Linked DNA regions of Mus musculus. Each later gene encodes a partner of the first gene's protein in a complex. Links are inferred from orthologs where the notes say so. Each region holds a gene or a part of one and is shown on either strand. Other genes may lie near its edges.

Region 1 (3,819 bases):
ATCATGGGCCAACAAATTTTCCACCAGCATAAGGACCAAACACCTGTAGGTCACCTTGAACAAGTTGACTATAGAGACATTTGTTTTTCAATGAAAGAAAGAAGAATGGAGACAGTCCCTGATTCCCATGCCTTGTGACTGGCCCACATCTCCTGTCCTTCCAGGTTGCCCTGGAGACTCTGTTACTCAGAGGACCCCAGAAGCCCCGGACTCACCCACTGGCTGACTATCGATACACAGGTGACAAGAGAAAGGGCTGCATGATAGCGGGGACCTGGCTGATTCCTGCCAGGGCTGATAGCAAACTTCACTTCTGCCTCTTCCCCTTGGCCTTCTTTCCAGAGCCTTTGTTTGTCTTTCTGAAGGGGTCTGTTCTTTCCAGGGGGGATTCAGCAGGCACTGCCTTGAGTTCACTAAACCCACCAGCCCTGTTCCATCATTCACTCAGAATTCTTCCAGCAAGATCAGTGTTCCTGACTAGAGCAGGGGATATGAACTTAAGCTGAGCACATCAAAGTCAGGCAGCTTGAGCCCACCTGCTTTTGTTAGGCCACTAAGGCCCCAGCCAGTTGCTCACATCTATAGCATGAGGATAGTGAGTCCCCAGCTTTGTAACACCAGGGAAGACTGAAATTAGTACATCATCAATGTTCATAATGTCAGTCAGGCTGTGGTCCCTTGAGAAAAACCTACCTTGCCCTGGCTGCTCCCCGGCAGGTTCAGACATCTGGACCCCCATGGAGAAGAGGCTCTTCAAGAAGGCATTCTGTGCCCACAAGAAGGACTTTTACCTGATACACAAGATGGTAAGATGACAGAGGGCTGGGGCAGCAAGCCCTGCCTCGAGGGCACAACTGTCCCTACCTGCCTGCAGCACATTCAGTACCTTGTAAGCGGCTTGTTACGCTTCAGTACCTTAGAAGGCTACCCTGCTGCTGCACTGCTTCTCATCAGTAAGTGCTGCTCACTCCAGCTCAGCACTTGCTGCCTTTCTCTGTCCTGATTTACTCCTGTGCATGTGCTGAAAAATACATGAACATAAAACCTAATTCTCTCTTCTGTTTTTGTTGTTGGTGTTTGTTTTTTGGTGTTGTTTGTTTGTTTGTTTGTTTGTTTGAGACAGTCTCTCTATGTAGTTCTGACTGTCCCACTATGTAGACCACGTTGGCTTCAAACTCACAAAGATCCACCTGCCTTTGCTGGAATTAAAGGGATGTGCCACTACCACCCAACTCTTTTCTGTTTTGTTTTGTTTTTTAAGACATAAAACTACACATAATCAAGGTACTGGGACAAATATTTTACATATGTATGAATCCATAGGATTGTCACCACAGGCAAGATAGCCACGTCTCTGTGATGCCCCAGTACTTCTTCCTTCCCTGACAGCCTATCGCACATGCCACTGTGCCTAACCCTCCATGTCCCTGGTCAGCCCTGGTCTGTAAGAAAGCTGTACTTTCTGGACTTTTGTATCACTAGGGCAGCCAAACAGCATTTGTTTCACACTTTATCTAGCTGCTTATACTCAGTATACTTACTTTGAGGTTCATTTGTGTTGCATTTATTAATAGTTCACCCTTTCTGCTGCTAAATAATACTGTGCTGCATGGATGTACTACAGTTGTATTTAATCACTTGTAGTTGATGGGCATTTGAGGGGGTTCCAGGCTGGGCAATTATAAAATAAAGTGGTTATGAGCATCATGTACAGAGTCTGCTCTCAGAGCTCACTACCCTTCCCAGCACTGTTTCTTTGGTCGTTTTTGGCTAGAAGGTGAATTCGTTCCTGTTGTTCTTTCTATCTTTCTCAGAAGCAGAAACCAGCTTCCATTTCCTTTTAACTTGGTGCTGTTTCCTAAGCAGAGGATGTGCTTGTTGACTTCTAGTTTGTGACAGCACATAAGCAGTTTCAGATCCATGTGGAGAAAGTGTACTCTGGAGTGAGGTGCTCACTTGGCCAATTAATTTCCTGGGAAAGTTTCCTGGGCAGCCAAAGTTTCCTCCCATCCTACCTCCCTTCTGCTGCCTCCTCTGCTTGGTGCTGGGAATGGAACCCACGTCCTCTTTCATAGTAAGCAATCTCTCTACCACTAGGTCCCACCTCCAGCTCTCCATTTCTGTTCCCTCCACCACCATCCAGAGGCTCTTTCTTTCTTGATATAAGGCATCAGTGTGTAGCCCAGGCTGGCCTCAGGCTCTCAGTCCTCCTGCCTCAACCTCCTGAGATCTAGGATTATGGCCCCATGTCACTCACTACACTGGGATCTAGAAGTCATTGGTTTGTTGTTTATTTAATTGATTGGTGCTTTGTTTTGTTTTTCAAGACAGGGTTTCTCTGTGCAGCCTTAGCTGTCCTGGAACTTTTTTTATATACCAGACAGGCCTTGAACTCATATAGATTCACTGCCCTTTGCCTCCTAAAGTGTTGGGATTAAAGACATCCACCAAAAATCATGTTTGTTGAGAAATAGTTGCTCTATATCCCTGACTGGCCTGGAACTCACTATGTACCCAGCCTGTCCTGGAACTCTCAGAAATCATGCTGCCTTTGCCTTGCCTCCAGAGACATGCGGTATGACATTCAGCCCAGGAGTCGTATTTTTGCAAGAATAAGTGACAGGGCTTGAGTGCTGTGTACACTCATAACTGTCCTTCTCATGGGGCTACTTTCCCTAGAGGGCTTCCTCAGCTATGTTTAGTTGTGGTGGCTGGAAGCTCACCAGAGAGGAAAGGCATTCTGTGTTAATCTCACCGAGTTTGGCTGTTGCCTGCTGTAATGTCCCAGTGAGCCTCCTTACCTGTGGGTCTTTATGTGTCTTCCTACAGGGAAGAAGCATGCTGGACTTAGTGCTGATGGCTACTGTGTGGCTTCACTTTGGACCCTTCACCACCCAGAAGGACCAAGATCCCTGCCTTTGCCCAGCCATGGGCAGAGACGTTGGGGAAGGGATTTCCAGGGTGGAGTTCACATGTGAGGTACTGCCCACAACCTGCTTCTGTATCTTCCTTCCCACTAGATCCAGACTAAAAGTGTAGCACAGTGTGTCGAGTACTACTACATCTGGAAAAAGATGGTTAAGTTTGATTGTGGCCGAGCTCCTGGGCTGGAGAAGAGGGGCAGAAGAGAGCTGGATGAAGTAGAAAGGACTGAAGACAAGGTAGAAGATGCATGATGAAGTGGTCTGGGTACTTCTGTGGTCCAGTCAGAGGGTGGTGGAGGCTCTCAAGGGAAGGTTTCCCTGAAGAAGACATGGTCCCACACCAGTGTCTTAGGTCATCTTTACCCTCTCTGTAGGTGACTTGCAGCCCTCGAGAGAGACCTACCCACCGTCCAACTCCTGAGTTAAAGATAAAGACCAAGAGTTACAGGAGAGAGTCTATCCTTCACTCCAGCCCAAGTGCAGCCCCCAAGCGCACTCCTGAGCCTCCAGGGAGTGTGGAGAGCCAGGGCGTGTTCCCTTGCAGAGAGTGTGAGAGGTACCAGCCTTCCCTCTGGACCTTCACCCTCTGGCCTGACTTGCTTCCCAAGCTCCTCTGGCTCTGACCCACATCCTTTGACTCCTCAGGGTGTTCGACAAGATCAAGAGTCGGAATGCCCACATGAAGCGCCACCGCCTCCAGGAGCATGTGGAACCCGTTAGGGTGAAGTGGCCTGTGAAGCCCTACCCACTGAAGGAGGAAGAGGAGGAGGAAGAAGAGGAGCTGGGGGCCGACATGGGCCCCTTGCAGTGGTGACTTCTTGCTAGAATTTGGTCTGCAAGGAGAGGGGAATTCAGCTCTGAACCAGTGCCCTGGGCCTCTCAGAAGTGTTTGGGG
Region 2 (3,819 bases), on another chromosome or scaffold:
CTGGAGTATGTGACACTAGGAAGCCGACACAGGCTCCCGTGTGTCAGACCAGCATTCTCCTAACCGAGTTATATCTCAGCCCATATATTAGCAACCATGCTGATCAGTATGGAGTGGTAGCTTGCAGTTTTCATTTGTATTTCTCAATGTCTACTGAAACTAACCTTTTCATGTACTTGATTTAAAAAGGTTGAATGGTGTTAAGACAAAATTCATAGATATTTAAAATACACCTGAATTTTTAACTTTGTTTAGTGTTTGTAATCCATCACCATATCAACTTTCAAAACATTTTGTCATCTGAAAAAGAAATTTGATGCACATTAGTAGCTGTTTTAGGTAGGGTTTCATTGCTGTGAAGAGACGTTGTGAGCAAGGCAACTCTTACATAGGACAGACTTGATTGGGGCTGGCTTAGAGGTTCAGAGGTTGAGTCCATTATTGTCATGGTGGGGAACATGACAACGTGCAGGCAGACATGGTGCTGGAGAAGGAGCTGAGACTTCTACATCTTGATCAGAAAGAGACTTGTATACCCCACTGGGTGTAGCTTACGCATCTAAGACCTCAAAGCCCACCTCCACAGTGACACACTTCCTCCATCAAGGCTACACCTACTCTAACAAGACCATACCTCTTAAGACTGTCACTCCCTGTGGCCAAGCATTCAAACGCATGACTATGGTGCCATTCCTATTCAAACCTCCACAGGAGTCATTTCCCCATTTCTTAATTTACCTCATTTCTGCCTGTTACAAGTAATCACCTTTTACTTTCTACCTATAACAGTGTAGTTTTTAAAATTATGCACACATGAGGCAAATGATTACAGAGTCTTTTGTGACTGGTTTATTATTTTAATTTTTTTTTCAAGACAGGGTTTCTCTGTATCGCCCTGGCTGTTATTTTAATTTTTAAAATATATTTATTTATATGTGTGTGTGTGTATGTGTGTGTGTGTGTGTGTGTAGTGGCATATGAGGACTTTGGTCCGCATGTGGAAGTCAGAGGACAGCTTGGTGGGAAGCAACTCCCTGTCTTCACATATGTGGGTCCCAGGGATTGAACTCTGGCCAGCAGTCCTGGGTGGTGGCAACTTTACCCTCTGAGCCGTGTTAGGGCTCCTGATTTCTTTCCCTTAACATGTTTTTGAAGATCATCCACCACTTACACTAGTGCACATTCCTCTTGATTAAAAATAATATTCTATGGGCTGGGGAGACAGCTCAGTGGTTAGAGTACTGACTGCTCTTCCGGAGGTCCTGAGTTCAATTCCCAGCAACCACATGGTGGCTCACAACCATCTGTAATGAGATTTGATGCCCTCTTCTGGTATGTCTGAAGACAGCTACAGTGTACTTATGTATAATAGATAAATCTAAAATAATAATAAAAATAGTAATAATCCTCAATAAAGATGTGTATGTATGTTCTTCTGTGTTTTTTTTTTAACAGACTTTTTTGGTATAGAATTCATGGAGAAAAGAGAATTACACACAATAATGTAGAATATCCTTTGACTTGTCTTTCCAAATACAAAGACATTCCATACTTTAGCTTTTTTTTAATACTTACCTTGGATCTTAGGGACTTATGTGTAACTCAGCATAGTCATCCTGTTTGCAGTGGACTTTTTCCCTACAGAGCCCAACAGCATGCTGTGCACACAGTCTACAGAAGGAGATTTCAATTGCTACCAAAAATCTAAGAACGTCTGAGGCTTTCATTGTATTAGCCTGTTAGAGAATTTGGTTCTCTGGGCTGGGAAGTTACCTCAGTTTGTGAAATGTTTATCATGCAGGCATGAGGACCTAAGGTTGGATTCCCAGCCCCCACATAAAAAGCCAAATTGTGGTAGGTGCCTTTGATCCTAGTTCTCTAGAGGTAGGGCTTGCTGGTTTACTGTTCTAGTCCAGTCAGTGTGAACCCCGGGCTTATTGAGAGACCATGTCTAAAAGGTAAGCTGGAGGGCTGGCCAGACGGGTAAAGGCAGTGCGATCCCTAAGACTCACACAGAGATAGAAGCAAAGAGCTATTTGCACAAATCTGTCCTTTGAGTTCACAGGCATGCAGACATGCTTCTACACACCACACAGTGACTTACAAATAAGGTGAGTGGATGAGAAAAGCACACACACACCCTTAGCTTCTGGCCTCCACGTGCATGCACGTTCACACACATACCACCCCCCCACACACACACACACACAATCCACAATTAACAACACTAAAATAGTTGACCATGGTGATGTACACCTTTAATCCCAGCAGAGATAGGTCTCTGTAAATTCAAGGCCAGCCTAGTCTACAACTCCAGTTCCCAGACAGCCACAGCTACACAGAGAAACCCTGTCTCAAAAAGCCAGAAAGAAAAAAACTAAATATTTTTTAAAGAAAATTAAAGGTTGTGGCACCAAAATATATAATAGCATACAGGATTTCAAAACTATTTCAGCAACAGTTGACAGTTTTAAAGAAAATCCTGTTAGAGTAACCATACCATGCTTTTCCTTTCTTACTGAGAGAACGGGAGGGAGGGAGGGAGCCTCAGGTTTATGGCAAGTTTCTAGTAAGGAGGCACTGTTCAGGGTTTGTCTTAATTTCTTCAGGGTTCCTTCCGAGAGATAGTGTGCTGTCATATTCTTCTCGACTTAAACTTTTATCATTATTTCATTCAGATTGCTTATGGGAGATGAACGTGTGAAGAATGGCCTGAATTTCATGTACGAGGCCCCACCAGGAGTTAAGAAAGGTACCCGCCTCGTTTCCTTTGAGCTTTGATGTAATTACCTGTAAAGAGTTAGAAGAGGGGACAGTATTTTAATTTTGATTTGTATTTTTCCATTGCTGTTGCTCTAACAATGTTGTCATGTGCAAAGCAAAATAAACAGTTTCTAATGTTTCTTATGTGCTTTGGAGGAAAATGCTCAATACTGGCAGAGGTACATTCAGCCCTCTCATAATGTAAACATACCTGTGGTCCTTATTAAAATAAATCTCCAAATGGAAAGTCTACTCATTGCCAGTGAAAACATAAAAGCTTAAAAATTAGGAACTAAACTGCCTATTCTGAACGATATTTCAGTGTTGTATTATATCCGTCAGTGATAAGTAGTAGACATTCTAACTTGTCCTGTTTCCCTCCTGTGCTTTGAATATGCAATCAAGAAAACAAAGAGGTAAAGTACTTTTCTCTGTTTGAATTGATCGGTAGTTGATTGTGATTTTATGGACAGTTGACAGATTTTTTTACTGACTGTTGTAGAAAGAAGAAACGGAAGGAGAGACCGAGTACAAGTTTGAATGGCAGAAAGGCGCTCCGAGAGAAAAGTGAGGCTGCTCTGTACGGGGAAAGCATAAGCTTGTGTGTGCTCCTGCTTGCCTCCTGCTTGTTAAGGTTCACTGACCAGGGCAAGGACTGGTGTGAGAGGGTGTTCTAATGACTTACCTCCTACAAACAGTGCGCTTCATTCAAGCCTGCTTTAAAACCTTATAGTACATTATCAGACTATACAGACACTTAAAAATTGATGCTGATTTTATACTTTATAGTAATAATACATTTTATAATGTTTTAAAAACTATAACCTTTTTTTCAGGTTAACTGTCATTGAATTTGTTAAATTGTTCTTAATATTATAGTCGTATGTTTGTTTTGTACTTAACAGATATGCCAAAGATGACATGAACATCAGAGATCAGCCCTTTGGTATTCAGGCAAGTAACATACTTATTCTTTAAGAAGAATTTTTATTTAGTACATATATATTTACATTATTTTCCAAAAATGTTTGTATTTAGAGTTCTCTAAAGAACAAA

The links.
Region 2: Zfp541 (region 1) and Cir1 share a complex: the UniProt entries of both Homo sapiens proteins name them as parts of the histone deacetylase complex. The link is inferred for Mus musculus from reciprocal best matches to the Homo sapiens genes ZNF541 and CIRSR.

Annotation. Positions count from the first base shown.
Region 1 is NC_000073.6:16,092,122-16,095,940, forward strand, and holds part of Zfp541 (zinc finger protein 541), read left to right. Parts: intron 1-164; coding exon 165-240; intron 241-717; coding exon 718-806; intron 807-3,020; coding exon 3,021-3,161; intron 3,162-3,298; coding exon 3,299-3,480; intron 3,481-3,569; coding exon 3,570-3,738; 3' UTR 3,739-3,819. UniProt on the Homo sapiens protein: Transcription regulator which is essential for male fertility and for the completion of meiotic prophase in spermatocytes.
Region 2 is NC_000068.7:73,305,788-73,309,606, reverse strand, and holds part of Cir1 (corepressor interacting with RBPJ 1), read left to right. Parts: intron 1-2,678; coding exon 2,679-2,752; intron 2,753-3,168; coding exon 3,169-3,179; intron 3,180-3,265; coding exon 3,266-3,330; intron 3,331-3,668; coding exon 3,669-3,717; intron 3,718-3,819. UniProt on the Homo sapiens protein: May modulate splice site selection during alternative splicing of pre-mRNAs. Regulates transcription and acts as corepressor for RBPJ. Recruits RBPJ to the Sin3-histone deacetylase complex (HDAC). Required for RBPJ-mediated repression of transcription.